3 linked regions of the Arabidopsis thaliana genome follow. The protein of the gene in region 2 interacts with the protein of the main gene of each other region in a pairwise test. Each region holds a gene or a part of one and is shown on either strand. Other genes may lie near its edges.

What was found. Proteins that work in one complex are often made in the same cells at the same time.
Region 1: the proteins of AT1G47530 (region 2) and AT3G03210 interact in a protein complementation assay, tested with the Arabidopsis thaliana proteins (one large-scale study listed by BioGRID).
Region 3: the proteins of AT1G47530 (region 2) and TPC1 interact in a protein complementation assay, tested with the Arabidopsis thaliana proteins (one large-scale study listed by BioGRID).

The regions. Positions count from the first base shown.
Region 1 is NC_003074.8:739,056-742,858, reverse strand, and holds AT3G03210 (Pmr5/Cas1p GDSL/SGNH-like acyl-esterase family protein), read right to left. Parts: upstream 2,156-3,803; 5' UTR 1,873-2,155; coding exon 766-1,872; 3' UTR 550-765; downstream 1-549. Other genes in the region: EXPA13 (expansin A13), read left to right, coding at 1-204. UniProt on the Arabidopsis thaliana protein: Component of the plant cell wall polysaccharide acetylation pathway. Does not directly catalyze O-acetylation of xyloglucan but exhibits weak acetylesterase activity in vitro.
Region 2 is NC_003070.9:17,449,651-17,454,987, forward strand, and holds AT1G47530 (MATE efflux family protein), read left to right. Parts: upstream 1-1,902; 5' UTR 1,903-2,073; coding exon 2,074-2,343; exon of another isoform or gene 2,344-2,637; intron 2,638-2,738; coding exon 2,739-2,934; intron 2,935-3,023; coding exon 3,024-3,369; intron 3,370-3,465; coding exon 3,466-3,552; intron 3,553-3,637; coding exon 3,638-3,694; intron 3,695-3,786; coding exon 3,787-4,144; intron 4,145-4,226; coding exon 4,227-4,313; intron 4,314-4,406; coding exon 4,407-4,460; 3' UTR 4,461-4,811; downstream 4,812-5,337.
Region 3 is NC_003075.7:1,578,158-1,585,977, reverse strand, and holds the start of TPC1 (two-pore channel 1), read right to left. Parts: upstream 6,050-7,820; 5' UTR 5,726-6,049; coding exon 5,606-5,725; intron 5,278-5,605; coding exon 5,134-5,277; intron 5,038-5,133; coding exon 4,930-5,037; intron 4,620-4,929; coding exon 4,524-4,619; intron 4,409-4,523; coding exon 4,278-4,408; intron 4,086-4,277; coding exon 4,025-4,085; intron 3,928-4,024; coding exon 3,761-3,927; intron 3,669-3,760; coding exon 3,563-3,668; intron 3,457-3,562; coding exon 3,379-3,456; intron 3,226-3,378; coding exon 3,164-3,225; intron 3,018-3,163; coding exon 2,945-3,017; intron 2,827-2,944; coding exon 2,761-2,826; intron 2,669-2,760; coding exon 2,525-2,668; intron 2,449-2,524; coding exon 2,391-2,448; intron 2,122-2,390; coding exon 2,014-2,121; intron 1,927-2,013; coding exon 1,863-1,926; intron 1,788-1,862; coding exon 1,619-1,787; intron 1,381-1,618; coding exon 1,316-1,380; intron 1,161-1,315; coding exon 1,070-1,160; intron 896-1,069; and 8 more. Other genes in the region: GSL05 (glucan synthase-like 5), read right to left, coding at 6,783-7,820. UniProt on the Arabidopsis thaliana protein: Functions as a voltage-gated inward-rectifying Ca(2+) channel (VDCC) across the vacuole membrane. Is one of the essential components of the slow vacuolar (SV) channel.

The DNA of each region.
Region 1 (3,803 bases), on a different chromosome or scaffold from region 2:
AAGATCAAAGGGTCGAGAACCGGGTGGTTACCTATGGGTCGTAATTGGGGACAAAATTGGCATATTAATGCTGATCTCAGGAACCAAGCTCTCTCATTTGAAGTAACTTCTAGTGACAGGTCAACCGTGACATCTTACAATGTCTCCCCGAAAAACTGGAATTATGGACAGACCTTCGAAGGGAAACAATTCGAGACTCCGTGAGACAGAGACGGACACATTGAGATACAATCCCATGATTCTTTTTTTCCGGGTCAGAATTTTTTGATGGCAAGTATATCGATCTTGGTCTAAGGTTATCTTTAGGGTTGAAAAGGAAAGAACTTGGGTCAGACTTTTGCATTTCATAGTTCTCTCTCTCCCACGCATAGGTACAAAAACTCACCAATGTACTAAGAACAGTGATCACACAAACATCACTATTGTATCTATTTGTTTACATTACTAAGGAGCGAAAGCTTCCTTCAAGTGCTTAAAGCTAATGATGAGTACTGAGTCTTATCGTAAAAAGAATCCAAAAGGGTACTGTGATATAACAAGAATCAGAATAGCTAAAGGTTATAACTTCTCAAAGTCAAAAGATATTAAACCTATTATAGCCATGAATGTAAGTTCACTTACTTCTCCAATGTGAAGATCACTCAGGCCAAAAGGATCACCGTGTGTTGTAAAATTCCTATGAACATCCCACTTCTCTTAAAACTCTACAAGAGAACCCCAAACAAAATAAAAGGAAAAAAAACAAAAAAAAAACGTGTCAAGAACTCATAAAGATTGATGAGATTCAATAAGCAACGCATTGAGCATGACATGGACAGCGGCATCATAGACCGCAGAGTCATAATGCATCCCGTCAAGTGTACATTGCGGTCCACAGTTCCAGGTAAACGACTGGATATCAAGCAAGATAAGAGGACCACCCATTTGACGTAAGATCTTACTCTCCCCGAGTGATCTATCATACTCATGCCACACCGTATCACTCATCTTCTCCTTCTTCTCATCCGTATTCAACATCCCGTTGATCAAAACCGGCATCCCAATCCAGAACAGATGCACAGATCTACCGGAGACCGACCCACCTCCTTCTTGCTCCTTTGGCGTAAGGGGCACTAGAGACTCCACATGACTACTCAATTGCCTCAACCTAAAACCAAAATCTGAAGCATTGTTCACATGAAGCATATGCCATAACCCAGTTCCCATGATCACAACATCAGGATACTTTTTCATCTTCTTATAAGATACCACAAGATCATCCAAATCTTTCTCATAAGGAGCCCAAACAAAATCAAGCTTCATCCCAATCTCCTTAACCACAATGCTGTAATCACTATGTCTCCTAAACAAATCCCCTCTAACCGAATCCATAGCCTTGGAATCCGAACCCAAAACAAGATTCAACAAAGACAAAGCCACGAATCTCGCCTGAGAATCACCAGCAACAACAACCCACGATCCATTCAACAAATCCGAAACATCGAACTTATCCAATTTCTGAAACTCACAACTCAAAACTTTCCTCGATTTCATCCAATCCCAGTTCTTCACGAAATAATCAAGCTTTGTTGAGCCATTGTTCCTACGAACAGACTCCGGATTCGGTACCGGTTTAACATCCCAGACAATCTGATTAACCTCGTTGATACAAGAGATACGATGATCGTAGACAACAACAGAGGAAACAGAGGCAACGATGTCGGAAACGGAAGGGAAATAAGGCGTGAGATGAACACAAACCGCGAGAGAAATAAACAAAGCGCCACTAAAGAAGAGCATCTTGTTCCTGCTCAGATGCCAACCAGCCATTGCCATGGGAACGAAGAGGACGAAACAAGCTGCTAATACTCCCAAATGAATCGCTCCTAGCATCTCTCAGACTCAGATTTCGGAATCAGACACATCTAGATTTCCATCTAGACAAAACCAATTTCATCCAGATTCGAATTAACTCTTTTTCTCTATAATTTAAGAAGAAGCTAGGGTTACGGATTTGGTTCGGTGAAGAGAATCTATCAAAATTGAAGGTGAAGATGAAAATTTGGTGAGATTGAAAGGAACAGAACAACCGTAGGCTTCTTCTTCTTTGGTTCGATTTTTTGTATTTAAAATTTTCCATATTTGTAAGATCTCCATTAATTTATGATCTCATCTCTCTGACTCTCAGACATGGTTCGGCTCACTTTAGCCTCATTATGGAACTGGGAACTATTCTAACGTGCGCTCACCGCTGGGAATCACGTGACCGCTTTTAGATTAATCATAAGTTCCTCGGCCCACGGTCAAGCCCATTTATTCACGTGACCGCTTGTAGATTGATCATAAGTTACTCGGCCCACGGGAAAGCCCATTTAGCCCACATCGTTCAACAAATCAATGACACTTTCCTTATGTGTATTTTCATACGTACGATTTCATCTTGGAATGACATTAAATTCTGTAGATCCGCGTTTTCATCATATAATAAATGGAGAAAAAATCATTATAATCATTTAGACTTCTTTTTTTATAGCTAAAGTTACATGTAATTTCGTGATTTTTCTTCACGGTCTTAAGTCTTGGGGATCTTGTAGACTCCGAAATTTCATAATAGTTTCAACCGATTTTTACATATTAACTTTTAATTTATTACTTTCTCATTCTAACCAAATTTATATATTTTTGCCAATGAGGCAATGACCCAATCTAATGGTGGGGCTAATCATAGGACTAATATGTTATTAGTTTATAGAATGTGTGTGAACGTTAAAAAGAATTAAGTAAAGAACCAAAAGATGGATTCATGTGAGGGAAATGTCTCAAGAAGGGTATGTACTATGTACACATTGTAGATATATTAAAGATATATATATATGTGTATATATATGGTGATACAAAGAAGAAAGAGAATATGGAATTTGGAATAATGAGAGAAAAAGGTTATGACGATGATGAGAAAGGCTGAGAAGTGATTCTCTTGGGTTGGCCCATCAATAGCTTCCAAGGATTTATTCACATGTTCACAACTGCTGGATCCCACATGATCATACATATAACCATCTCAAAACCATATGCTTGTTCAAATTTTATATATATATATATATATATATATATATATCTGATCGATTTCATTTTTCCAAATTTTAGATAAGTTTTTTTTTGATAAATCAACTTTAGATAAGTTTTATAGTCGCCTACACCAAATGTGACTGTATGTTCATATGATTATATATAGCTTTCGAGTTTCGACCAAAATGATAAATACTCAAACTATAATTTCTTATATCCATAAGTCTTTGGAGTACGTAATTGGACTTTCGGTCAATAGTTTTTCTATATTGGAACAAAAGTTTTGGTATTTTATATGACGACACTAAATATGGAGAGGAAAGGATTTCTGGCCACTCAATTTTTTAATTTTTGTTTCAAAATCTCCGAAATTTCAATTTTTTTTCCCGAATCACACAACCTTACATTAACAGCCTAATACACTAGAAAATATATGAGCATTAACTGATGGAACGACCATAAAATGGAGTTCATCTTTCTATTCGATATACGATATACAATATGAATATGAGAAACAGAAATAGACATATATAAATGACAAAATAAAATGTAAAACACTACTAGTATAAATTTACAACATCAAGATATCTATTTTTAAAAAAGATCTATGTACGTAGATCGGATGGCAATGTGAAGGGAAACAAAGGATTCGCATGCAAGTGGGTACAAAAGAGACAGTTATTTCAGTTAGAAGTGCCGCCAAATAACAAAAAAAAAAAAGAAAAAAAAGAAAGAGAGATTGCAACAGTTTTGGG
Region 2 (5,337 bases):
TGTTTTTGAGAAAAAAACTTTGATGGAAATTTTTTTTTCGAAATTTTTTGGTGGGAAATTTATTTTGGAATATTTTAGGCGAAAAAATATTAATATTTCATTTTGTTAACCTAAAACAATTTCGAAATATGAGTAAAATGGTCATTAAAAATTTAAAGAGGTATAAATGAAAATGGCAAATAAGAAAAGGTAGAATTGAAAAGGGGTAGTGTGGAAAGGACATTCTGAGCAATTATTCAATATTGTATGACTACTAAATTCTCATATGCAAATGTGAAATCAAATTTGTATTCAATCACTTGTTTATATAATGTCTGGTTCTTTAGATATTAGCTCACTTCAGGTAAGAAAACAAAATGTGGTAGCCTCATTACTTCATTAGTGCAAAGAAAGTGATTCTTTGGGATAAATTTGGATAATTTTGAATCAAAGCTGTAGTAGGACAATACACTTTTATAGTATTTTTTATTAAAGGGAAAACTCAACATCTAAAGGCAAGGAATATCCAACAGTTTGAACGCTAAACAATCAAGGGACAAGCAGAGCGTTTTCTAAATAAAGTTGCCGTTCTTTGAGAGCCGAGCTCGAACCGTAATCTGGCTTCATCACACACATAGTTCATCTTCCCGGTCGTCCCATCTCTGCAATCAGGAAAATGCAACCTCGATCCAAACCTCATATCACCTCTTTCCTTAATATTCTCCATAATATCTTTCACAATCACACCATCCATATCTCCTTCAGAGGCAATCGATGTAACCTTAAGCAGCTTAGGCCACCACGGTTTGATATTGTAACTAAATACTCACAAGAGTTAATCTATGTTAGTTTTCGAAACAAAAGAAATATGTGAACAAAACTAACAACCAAGGAGTGAAATCTTTTGAGTCCACATGCAATATGTGATACAACGAGGATTCATCCCTCTCAGTATAGACTAGTTATTCTGAAACATAGCTTCCTCACTACCGCAAGAATCCCATGATACAACAACTACGCTCTTACAACAATGGTTAATTTGATCACGATTCAATAATCATCTACCATGATTCACTCTCTTTTTGGTTAAAGTTCAAAGTAATATTTTCGCATTTCTTTGATATAAAACGATGTCGATTATTTGGTTCATGACTTTTTATTTCTCTTAGTTTCACAACAACTTCGCTCTCACAACAATGGTTAATTTGAGCACTAACCAATGACCAATTGACCATGCATGATTCACTCTCCTTTTGGTTAAGTTCAGACAGTGTAAAAGCTTTTCTTGTTACAAAATGCTGTCGATTTTTTGGTTCATCAATTTTATTAATTTCTTTTGCACTTTCACCAACACCTAATATTAAAAAGAAAATAAAAACAAGATCCACCAATTCAATGCGATAGGGTAAGTGACTAAATGTTCATTGCCGTTGTCACCCTTTGAACCCAATTTAGGACTCAAAGAGCCGTCTGATTATATTTAACCTTGGTCGAAGTATTTCTAACGAGCTGGTAAGTCCTCATTGGTCCATTATATTCACTGTCCACAATAATTTTAATTACTTGTACGACTCGGTTAACTCCTTCTAGGAAAAACTAAAGTGTACCTACCTAGTACATACGTACTTCTTCATATTACCACAAGTTTTTTTTTTTTTTTCTTGCATTCAACTACGTGTTTAAAGTTTCGGCCCCAAACTTCGGCCCAAAAACAAAAACCAAATAAACTATTACAAAAATCTTTGTTATCATATCACACTATCATTTCAAGTTTTCAACCAATCCATACTCTTAACAATCCCATTAAATTGAGATTTATTCATATTAAGAAATTATGCTGATAATATTTAACTACCAAATTAGGCCGATTCATACCAAAACTATAGAATATGTACTAAATAATTCCATTACCTTCGTTTAGTCATTTTTGGCGGTTTATTTCTTTTGGATAGATCTCATGTCAGACCTTTTTAGACTATTCATTATGGCACCTACCACACTAGTGTGTCTCCATCTTCTGTATTTATATACATATATCATAAGTCAGAACAAAGAGAAAGCAAAGAAGAGAAACTAAAACAGAGCTTTTTTCACATGGGAAAGGATAAGACTTTGCCGTTGCTTGACCCTCGTGAGCCACCGGAACTCACCGGAACCAAGTCGGCGTCAAAAGTATGGGCCAAAGAGTTCGGCGAAGAGTCGAAGCGGCTTTGGGAGTTAGCAGGACCAGCGATTTTCACTGCCATAAGTCAATACTCTCTTGGTGCTCTCACTCAGACTTTCTCCGGCCGTCTCGGTGAACTTGAGCTCGCCGCCGTCTCAGTTGAAAACTCTGTTATCTCCGGTCTTGCCTTCGGTGTCATGGTATGTTACGTAAACACCCTTCACACGTGTCAGGTTCTTGGTAATGGATAATGTGTTCTAATAATAGCCACAGAAATAAAAGTCAATATTTGAGGACTTTTTTTGTATTAATTAATATCAATATTCGTTAATATCAATGAAGTAGATTTTCCCATACATTTAAAATTGTTTCGTAATTGTGATTAAGTAAATCCTAACAGTGTGTTTTATATTCAAATAAAGTAGATATATTAATGTAGTTGAGTTCAGTGTTATAATATTTGTTATACAAGTAATCTCTACGAGGGTCCTTGTGTAAGCTCTCTTGAATTTTGTTGCTTGTCATTTAAGTTTCCTATGAAAAAAGCTTAGAGATCAAACAATATAAACATTTTGATGATGGAAAATGGTGGCAGTTAGGGATGGGGAGTGCATTGGAGACGTTGTGTGGACAAGCATATGGCGCGGGACAGATTAGGATGATGGGAATATATATGCAACGTTCATGGGTCATTCTCTTTACTACTGCTTTGTTTTTGCTTCCCGTCTACATTTGGGCTCCTCCTATTCTTTCCTTCTTCGGCGAGGCTCCTCACATCTCTAAAGCCGCGGGTATCATTCTTGTTATTCCTTTTTGCCAATTGGTTTTGAGTTTGGAGTCAATGTTCACGTAACAACTTCTGCGTTGTTATAATTTTCAGGGAAGTTCGCATTGTGGATGATCCCGCAACTATTTGCCTATGCAGCCAACTTCCCGATACAGAAATTCTTGCAGTCACAGAGGAAAGTTCTTGTGATGGCTTGGATCTCTGGAGTGGTTTTAGTTATACATGCAGTTTTTAGCTGGCTCTTCATTCTTTACTTTAAGTGGGGACTTGTAGGTGCAGCTATCACTCTCAATACCTCGTGGTGGTTGATTGTTATTGGTCAGCTTTTGTATATCTTAATCACCAAATCAGACGGTGCGTGGACTGGATTTTCTATGCTAGCGTTTCGGGACCTCTATGGATTTGTCAAACTTTCCTTAGCCTCTGCTCTTATGCTTTGGTACCTATCCAATTTTTTTTGGCTAGAAGATAGCTTTAGACTTACGTTAGCTGAGACTTCGCTTGTAATGAAAGGTTAGTTGTTTTTGTTTTGCAGTTTGGAGTTTTGGTACTTGATGGTTCTGGTTGTTGTTACCGGTCTCCTTCCTAACCCGTTGATACCAGTCGATGCCATCTCCATTTGGTAATCAATTTGTGCTGATCTTTGGTTAGTTTCTCACTGAAAATAGGTTTGTTTAGTAACATATTTTATGTTTTGGGGTTCACAGCATGAATATAGAAGGGTGGACTGCCATGATTTCGATCGGGTTTAACGCTGCGATTAGGTAAGTTCTCTACCTTTATGTTTCAGGAGCCACATTTGGAAAGCTAATAAAAATCTCATGAACTGGTGAACTTTGTCTCTTGGTGTGATCAGTGTGAGAGTATCGAATGAGCTGGGTGCAGGAAACGCAGCGTTAGCCAAATTCTCAGTGATAGTCGTCTCCATAACTTCAACTCTTATCGGGATAGTGTGCATGATTGTTGTCTTAGCCACAAAAGACAGCTTCCCTTATCTTTTCACTTCAAGCGAAGCTGTGGCAGCAGAAACCACGAGAATAGCCGTCTTGTTGGGCTTCACTGTCCTCTTGAACAGCCTCCAGCCCGTCTTGTCAGGGGTTGCGGTTGGAGCGGGGTGGCAGGCTCTGGTTGCATACGTGAACATTGCGTGTTATTACATTATCGGACTACCTGCTGGTCTTGTTCTTGGATTCACACTAGACCTCGGCGTTCAGGTTAGCTATTTACTAATATGACCATTTTGTATTAGCCTTGTTCTTTTTAATCTGGTGTTAAATCATTTGTATATTTTTGTAGGGAATATGGGGAGGTATGGTAGCTGGAATATGCTTGCAGACACTTATATTGATTGGAATCATCTACTTCACTAACTGGAACAAAGAGGTCTCTTACTTTGTCTTTTAGTTGCTGCTATGTTCCTCCTTTGTGTTTGGTTTGATCATTTCATTAATTAGCTTTGAATTCTAAATTATGCAGGCTGAGCAAGCGGAGAGTCGAGTTCAGAGATGGGGAGGAACGGCGCAGGAGTGATCAACAACTCCCTTAGGACGTGGACTATATCAGTTATTGATCTTTTTTTGTCAATGTTCAATGTTGAGAAAATTGTTTATCGGAGAACAACATCATCTCTTTTTGTTTTTTGATATGCTTAAAGTTAACGAGTCTCTCAGTGATTGTTAGAGGGGTACGGTTTGTTATGTGTTAGACTTATGTTAGATTCTAGGATGGTTGTTGCTAAGCCAAAGTTCTTGATTAATTTTAAGTATGAGATTTAATCTTCATAAGCTTGTTGATCCTTCGTTTTTATTTTAATGGTCAGACTTGATCCAATGTTTATGTTCATTTGAAGGCGAAGATCTTACCGTTTGTCAAACATAGCTAATTAGTGGTGGTATTAGCAACAGATCTTTAGGACTGTCGTTGATCTGTTGCAACTCAGTCACTAAAAATTAACAAATCTTATATAAACAAGAGGAATATTAAAAAGAAAAAAAGAAGATGAAAATGAATATCAAAATAGTTGTGTGACGATACAATATATTAGAGATGGACTACAACAATTCATGAATCAGGGTCACAGACTAACCGTTAAAGCAGTAAATTTGTCTGCCCATCTCATAAGTGTTTGAATTAAAATTTAGGTCAGTCGAGAGCTGTGTGCTATATACTAGATAGTCTACCCTTAATTACTATGTTTGGTTTTCGCATGGAGATTTACTATAAATACACAAACAAGTAATAGTGCTCAAATTGTGAATCAACCCATGCACTAATCCTTTTCATCAATTCGGTCACGGTTAGGATAATGGATTCCGTAATATGGTAACAAATGCATTTTCTGAAATATCAAACTAACATCATTTAATGATTATATTGTTTGATACATTTTATGATATATCAAACTCTG
Region 3 (7,820 bases), on a different chromosome or scaffold from region 2:
TCTTCCAATTTCATGTTCTTTTGGATTTTTTACTAATAAAAGTTACATTTTAAAAGGTCAAAGTAAAACTCAGTAAACATTACAAAAGTGTTAAAGAAATTGATGCTCATATAGTCATATAGTCATATGTTTTCATGACAAATTATAACACAATCGTCTTATATTAAATCTTCACCCAAAAGAAGAAAAAATTTAGTCACCTTCTAGATTCTATTGATCTCTCCATATAGAATCAAAGATTCACAGTATAAACGTATAAATAAGCTCTTAACGATCTTGTTTTGTTTTATGTGTCAGAAGTGGAACACTCTGGTTTGCTGAGTTCATCACCCAACATGTGATGAAGAAGTGTATCAACTCTCTGACTCCGAGACTTCGACCTTTAATAACCATAAAAACAAAATAAACCTTCAGATTTTGAGTCTAGTATGATATTACCAACCAACAATTTGACCTATCTACTTACCCTGCAGATCGACGCCTGTTTCTTTTTTCTTGAGAATCCTGCAACGATACAATAACGAGATGAAAACATTGCCGATTGAACACGAACCAAAAGGTTCTTTACTTTTCTAATCTCCCCAACATCTGTAACTTTATGGCGAATCAAAGACAATAACAAACCTGTCCTTGACATTTTTCTTCTTCTTCAAGATCCAGCTCAGTAAAGAACGCCTCCAAGACAAAGGCAACAACCTGAAACAAACACGCATTATAAGTCGATCTAAGAAGCAGAGTTAAGTTTCTTTACAACAATCATGGCCTCTGTTTGATCGAGCTCTTAGGAGTTGGCGTCAGTGAAACTCACCAAATTCAACAGAAGTAAAATAGTGATGACATAGAAACTGACGAAATATGTAATGCTCCACCACGTGCCCGTCAAATCTTTGTAGCTCTGAAAGAAATTAAGAGTAGTTAAAACCATTGCACCATAGTGATTGGCAAATAAGAAGCAAGCTGTTTATAGTACATCTAGCATTGGCCTCCTCAGCTCCAATGAATCTTGCGATACTTCTTGTTGGAAACTATAATGAGTCTAAAGTTGGGACTAACAGAAGAGTGAAATTACCTCCATCCATACTTGCCAGTTACCCATAACTAGCAGATTGAAGAGTGTGACCATTCCATTGGGGTAGTCATTGAAGTTGAACAAAAGGTAGCTGAGTTTTTCCCGTCAAGAAACGATCTTATACTGAAAACGTTTTTACCCCAGTAATAAAAAATTAAAAACACACTAGCAATCACAGGAACAGAGAAGGTGTACTAAGACTGTGTTGAGTGCATTAAAAGTTTTTCAGAAAGTTAAAAAGGATACTCATCCTCAGCCAATTCGGTTTCAAAGAGCTTTTTGTTCCCAGCATTCACAAGCCCTCCAAAGACCTACGGAGAAATGAGATGAAGAAATTTTTATATCTGATTTGGGAAATAGAACCCGTGAGAGAAGACAGGGAAAACACATGAGAGTAGCAGTTCAGCGGTTCCTAAAACATTCAGATGAACGGAAAGATGAAGAATTTCAAGAGGCTTAGAATAATCAAAAATGACGAGAATGACCATTGACCAAGGCTTCATCATAAGCTTGCATTTTTCAGACAAAAAACTCAGTAGTCTGATTTACCTGTACGCCAATAGAGCAGTAGATACACAGCACGCAGAAAATGGTCCCTAAATATGGCATCAAACTTGGAATAAGAGTTATGAACGTCGCAATAAATGCTCGGTATCGCTGGACGTTCATAAGAAGCCTTATCAGTCTTAACATTCTCGCCAGGAGAAGGTACCGGATCCTATCAATGAGAACCAGAGTCTGGGTTAGTACAAAAGAAGACCATTGTAACAAATATGTCATCGTTATTCCTCACCATTCTCCATTTGAGAAGAAAGTATTCTCGTCTGGAGTTATGAAGGTAGCTGTTTCCCCAATAACTGCAGATACAAAGATTATCACTTATAGCATAGCCATCAATCACTCAATCAGCAAAACAAGATGAAAATGCTGCTTCAATAGGTTACCTATGACCCATGTGACTAGAAAATCAAATCGGTTAGCACCCTCTCTCCAATAATTCTCAAATCCATATGTATAGATCTTCAGAGCCATCTCCAACACATATATCCAACCTGTAAAAACATTCAAAGATAGAAATTAAAAGAAGAAAAAGTTAAGACTCTGAAAAGGTGGTCAATAAAATTCGGCTGTTACAATCTAATATGATCCATAGAAGTACTCTACTCAGTGTAATAACACAGGAAATAGCTTAACTTCTATTTCATTCTTCATCTTTTCATCATATTTCTCAGTAACCATAGATTATACACTTCACAAAGCATCAAATAGAAGAAAAATACAAAATGGAGAGAAGATAGTGGAAACCTATTCAAGTTCTTACCAAAGACAAACTCGGCAACCTGCCATGGCTTCTGAGCCGAGCTTTCTTCGATATCAAGCTGCATACCAAAATCTGTTATGGCTTATGAAAGAATTAGGAATCGCATGTCAAAGAAATATGGGAACATGATATACCGTTGTTTCAACAACGACAGCAATGAAATTGATAATGAGGATGAAAGAAATAGCGTAGCCAAAGTTGGGGCTTCGAACAAAGGCTCTCAGTTGTTGTGATAAGGCGGAATGGTAAATTTGCGGAAAATGTTCAAAGAGAGACGGCTGCAATGAAAACAAAAAGGATCGCTAATGTAAACATATGGTGGAGGTAAGTAAATTTTGAGAGAAGGAAAATAAAGTATATGTGAACTTACTACTTCCTCCTTTTGGAATCTTAAAGCAATGGCCTGGCAGAGGTCAGCAAACTCATCCTTGTTTATCTGCTCAACAGGAAACAAAAAGGGGACAAAGAATCTGTTAGTCGTCAAGAGGTTTAGGTGAATAGTAATCTTAAGGTGTATCCTGATCATATGTGCCACATCCTTCACAGATCTCTACCTTAAAGTCACGAGTATCGTCAAGCTCATCAAATATCAATCCGAATTCTTCTTTTGATATCTTCGGCAACGTCCTATAAGGAAAAATGAATGCATATCATTATCAGGTCTCACAAGTTAACATACAAAAGGGAAGAAACCACAAACAAGTATATAAAAGATGTATTTCTTTTTCGAAACATAGGAAAGATTGAAAATACCAAAGATCATAGCAACAAACCTGTAATTAGTCAACTGTTCAAAGAGCTTAATGCATTGGTTCTTATCAATCTCCCCGTTTTTCTGTTAAAACATGAAATAAAGAACGAAGAAATATATGCTCAGCAAAGTGGTTAACTATACAAAGACTCTCCATTCATGAAGATCTTTGCCCAAGGAGAACTTCTCCGGATATCTCTAGGAGTAGATATAATCACTATGCGTAGATGAACTTACGTCTGAGTCTATAAGACCAAAGGCTTTCTCCAACATTCTTCTCTTCATTTGATCCATTCCAGATACTTGCTTTGCGAGCTGCAAACAGAATAGATATGATATGACACAAGGTGTCAAAAGAGGTTAATACTTTTGTTTTAAAAGCTGACATAAGAACCATACAAACATCAAATCCTTAATCCACCTGTTCTTTGAAACTGTCATAAACAACGGCAAGAATCAAGTTTGTGACAAAGTAGACGCCAATTAGCACGTAGAGCACGAAGAACACCGAAGACCAGCGAGAAGACCTTAGAGGACAGAACAAATAAGTCACTAAATTACTGGATGCAACGCCATACAAGCAAACTGAGACACAAATGGGATTTCACCTAATACTTACTTGTATGCAGGAATCCAGACATCAGGATTGTTGGATGTTGTGAACAAAATAAACATCTGGTAAAGAGTTGCACCATATGAAGTGAAGACCGTGAGGCCCTGCTGCGTGTCCTCAAACATAACAAAAGCAATCCAACTGGCAAATAGAAGGAACAGCATCCATAGAGCCTGTGAAAATATTCAAGGAGTTAAGTAAATAGGATGACAATCAATATGAGTTAATTACTTATCTGAAAGTCAAAAATGATTGGGGAAGGCCACTGACCAAGATATTCAAGTATGTGCCAAGCATTCCAGACAGAAGGACAAGGGTGTCCCGAAGTTCCCTGTACAGAAATGTAAAGAATCATAACTTTGGGGAATGTGCTGTATTTAGAGATTTAATAGGAGGAATAGTAGGTCAAATAATCACACGTCGACATTTATCATACATGACATGATCTGCGCATCTTTGTCTATAGAAATAAAGACATATAACCCATATAGTTGATAGAAAAGAAGCAGAGATCTACGGATACCTTATGCTGAGGATGAATATGATAACTCTCACGTATGGGGCGATTCTAAAAGGGAGAAAGTCGAAAGCCAGTGGAGACAGATACAGAAAGTCAACCAGCACATCAACAAACAAAATTACCACGCAAGCAACCTGGAATCAATATGAAGACAAATTGTTGCACGAAGAAAAGGAATTTCTTACTTTCTGATCGATTTTCAACAAAAAGAAGAAACACAAAACTGTGAAGTGGCTAGTAAGGAAATACCTTCACTAGATTCAGGCGACTAGTCCAAAAGATTCGGGAACCTTCATAGGATATCGGGAAGAAAGTATGTACAAGGAGTATAGCCAGGGTAATCACCTATTTGGACAGCAAAGAATATTATAATTTCAGCACAATGAGAAAAGGATCTTGGCCAGTCCTTATAATAAACATATCCAAAATAAGATGTGAGTGTTGATATTAAGTTCTTAACGACGAATTAAACGAGATAAACTAGTCTTGAATAAATACTCAAGGCTTCTCAAGATTTAAAGAAAACAAACATAAGGCAATTCAAGTCTTAAACTTTCAAGTGGATGTACATGTATATCATGAGCCCATCTGCACTAAATCTATGCATCTATAGCAAAAAAACAAAGGCAAACAAGACTTAAGTGTAATTACTTGCCTCATAGATAATGGATTCTGCATTGGTCAAGTACGGTAACTCTCCCAGGTAATAGTAATCTCTATCTTTGCAAGACGGTTTAGGGTTTTTTTCACACCACAATGGTTGCTGCAAAAGACAGGAAAAGTGTGTGATTACTTTCAAGTTGTGATTTTCTATAAATTTTTCAAGCAAGGTTGGTGTATACCAAAGAAATGTGCTGACCTCGAAGAAGTTAAGGAAAAGCAGAGCGAAATAGTTGAGTGACCAGATCAGATCCAAACGTGTGAAGATGAAGTAATACCTAGCAGACTCCCCGAAACTCGACTGATCAAGTATTTCCACAGGAAGACCAATACCATCTTCAGCCTACATACCACAAATCAGAGTCAATCCAACAATCCTCTTGACATAAGACTTTAGAGACAATGAAACAACAGATATCTCCATTCCCAATTTTCAAACAATGCTAATTTCGTGAGGATATACACACAAAAGCATTGACTAATCCTTATACGAAGAAATCACTCAGAAGAAGAAACGATTCATCTTCTCAGCTTAACAAAAACACTGACTTAATGAACTGATAAAATACATAGAATCTCTCTTGGAGGCGATGTGATCCATGTATAGAAACTTTTTGAAAAGTCAAAGAGGAAAACGAATTCAAAATTAGGGTGTAAGAGAATAAGAGAACCAGATCAACGAGTGCAGCTGCTTTCTGAAACGGAGTACCATGCGTGATAGCTTCTGATCGACGAACCCGATCCGTACCACCACCACCAAGACTATCTCTACCAATCAACGGGTCTTCCATTTTTTTTTTCTCTCTCCGATGAGAAGAAAATTACTGGATCGAATTGAAAGCAAATGTCGAGGAGAGACCTAGTAGCTTTCTCTGAGTGATTTGACTGTAGTTTGATAAGATCAAAAGGAAGACGAACAAGATTGATGATGATGGCCCAGAAGTAGTTGAATTTATTATTAACAATTTCTCGATTTTAAAAGTTTCCCGTTAGATCAGTCGCCGTTTTGTTAATAAAAGGATTAGATCTTGCAGACAAACACGTTGGTCCCTCGTCGATTTCTTGCCACGTGGCTTTAATTGCTCAATTCTGTTTTTTTTTATTCCCCAATTCACACTGATTGTTTCCCAATTTGTAATAGAAAAGGGAGCAAGAAGTTCAGGAGCATCCAAGTAGAAAAGTCAAAACCGACAAAGTGGTGTTGTGGTCCAATTATATAAATTTATTTCAATTTTGGACCCAGAAATTGACAAGCAGAAACCGATAATAGACGAGAGTAGTGGAATATGGACAAGTATCTAATCTGAAACTGATCTCTACTAAGAAGGAGAAGAAAAGATGTGAAATGTGAACAAAAGCTCTGCGAGATGACATTAGATAACAATCTGAATATAAACTAAAAATGCTCTAAAGCTCTATAATGAGAGAAGGAGAACAAATACACAAAGCCTCACTACACAAATTGCTGTACCTTTAGAACAAAAACCATACAAGAATCAGAGTTCCCTCCACACACACTGACAATCAAATATCTCCCTAAACCCATCTAACCGAATCAAACCAACTTCCCGATTCCTCATCCAACCAAACTCTCCAAAAACCTGTTTAAAATACAAAGATAAATCATCAGCATCTGAGTTTTTCTTTAGACGAAACAAAACTTCGAATTCGGTTGTTTCGGGAAAACTAACCTCCAACTGATTCCTTCGCCACATACCAATAGGATTTGAACTACCATTTACTTCTTAAGACCTACACAAATTTAAAGCCCGCATTGGTGTGAAATCCAGGATTTAAACGATCATAACATAAGGTGTTGAGAACAAGGAGCTTTACCGTTTTTTAAACTTAGACATCGCCTTTTGATTTCTTCCCAGTGACAATCTGCATGATGCGAAGTCCTCTGCTAAAAGCTTCATTGAATAATATCCTCGTTTGCATTGACTGGAATCCAGGCATCCATGACAAGAACGCTACTGGAACCATTATGAGTATCCCAAACAATATGTCATACATGCGAGCAACAGAGACAACAGCATTCCAGAAAATAGTGTAATTCTTCAGCCACTTCCTTTGAGTCTGTGCGATCAGCAGAATTCCCCAGCCAGTTGGGATGAATGCAAGAAGGCTTGTGAAGATATCGATGAAGCTGAAATGCGTGAACTCGAGCAAAGCAACAATCACCAGTATAGCAAGCACGATCAGGAGGAATTGGACAAGCCTGTACCGTATGTGAGCTTTTGCCGAGTACTTGTCACGGGCGTATTGGATGACTAGGAAGAGCACAAATATAGCAAAGATGTATATCCATGAGAACAAGTAGACAAAAAGGCTGGTGGATCCGTTTGCAATTTTAAGCTGGTATACAATCCCATACTGGAAGAAGAAAAACCGGAGGACCAAGATGATCTCCACAAATAATCCTGCCTTCCCGGTGTTTCTCAGGTGGTCCTGTTCCTCGTACCACCATTTTTCCCAGCTTTGTTCAGATTTCGTTGAGATTCTGCCTTGGTACCAGATCCAGTTCATGAAGTCTTCAAAGTCATAGACTGTCTTAAGCCAGTCGAATCCTGATGGGTTAAACACAAATGGGGCCATTATCCATGAAATCACAAGAAACCAGCTGGTGATAGTCATGGCTATGTAAATCAACGAGTCTTTGGCAATCGGACTGTGCGAAGCGTAGACTATGAGGATCAGCCCAAGCTCGATGGCCTTCACAAAGTGACTGCGTGCATACAGTCGGTAGTTCTCAGTGAATCCCTTGTGCTCGACAACAAATCCACGTCCAGTGGCTCTATACTTGGCCCCACCATGGAGAATAGTTCGACCGAAATAGTGAGCTCTGGTCCCCATTGAGAATGTGTAGAAGACAGCTGAAAGCTG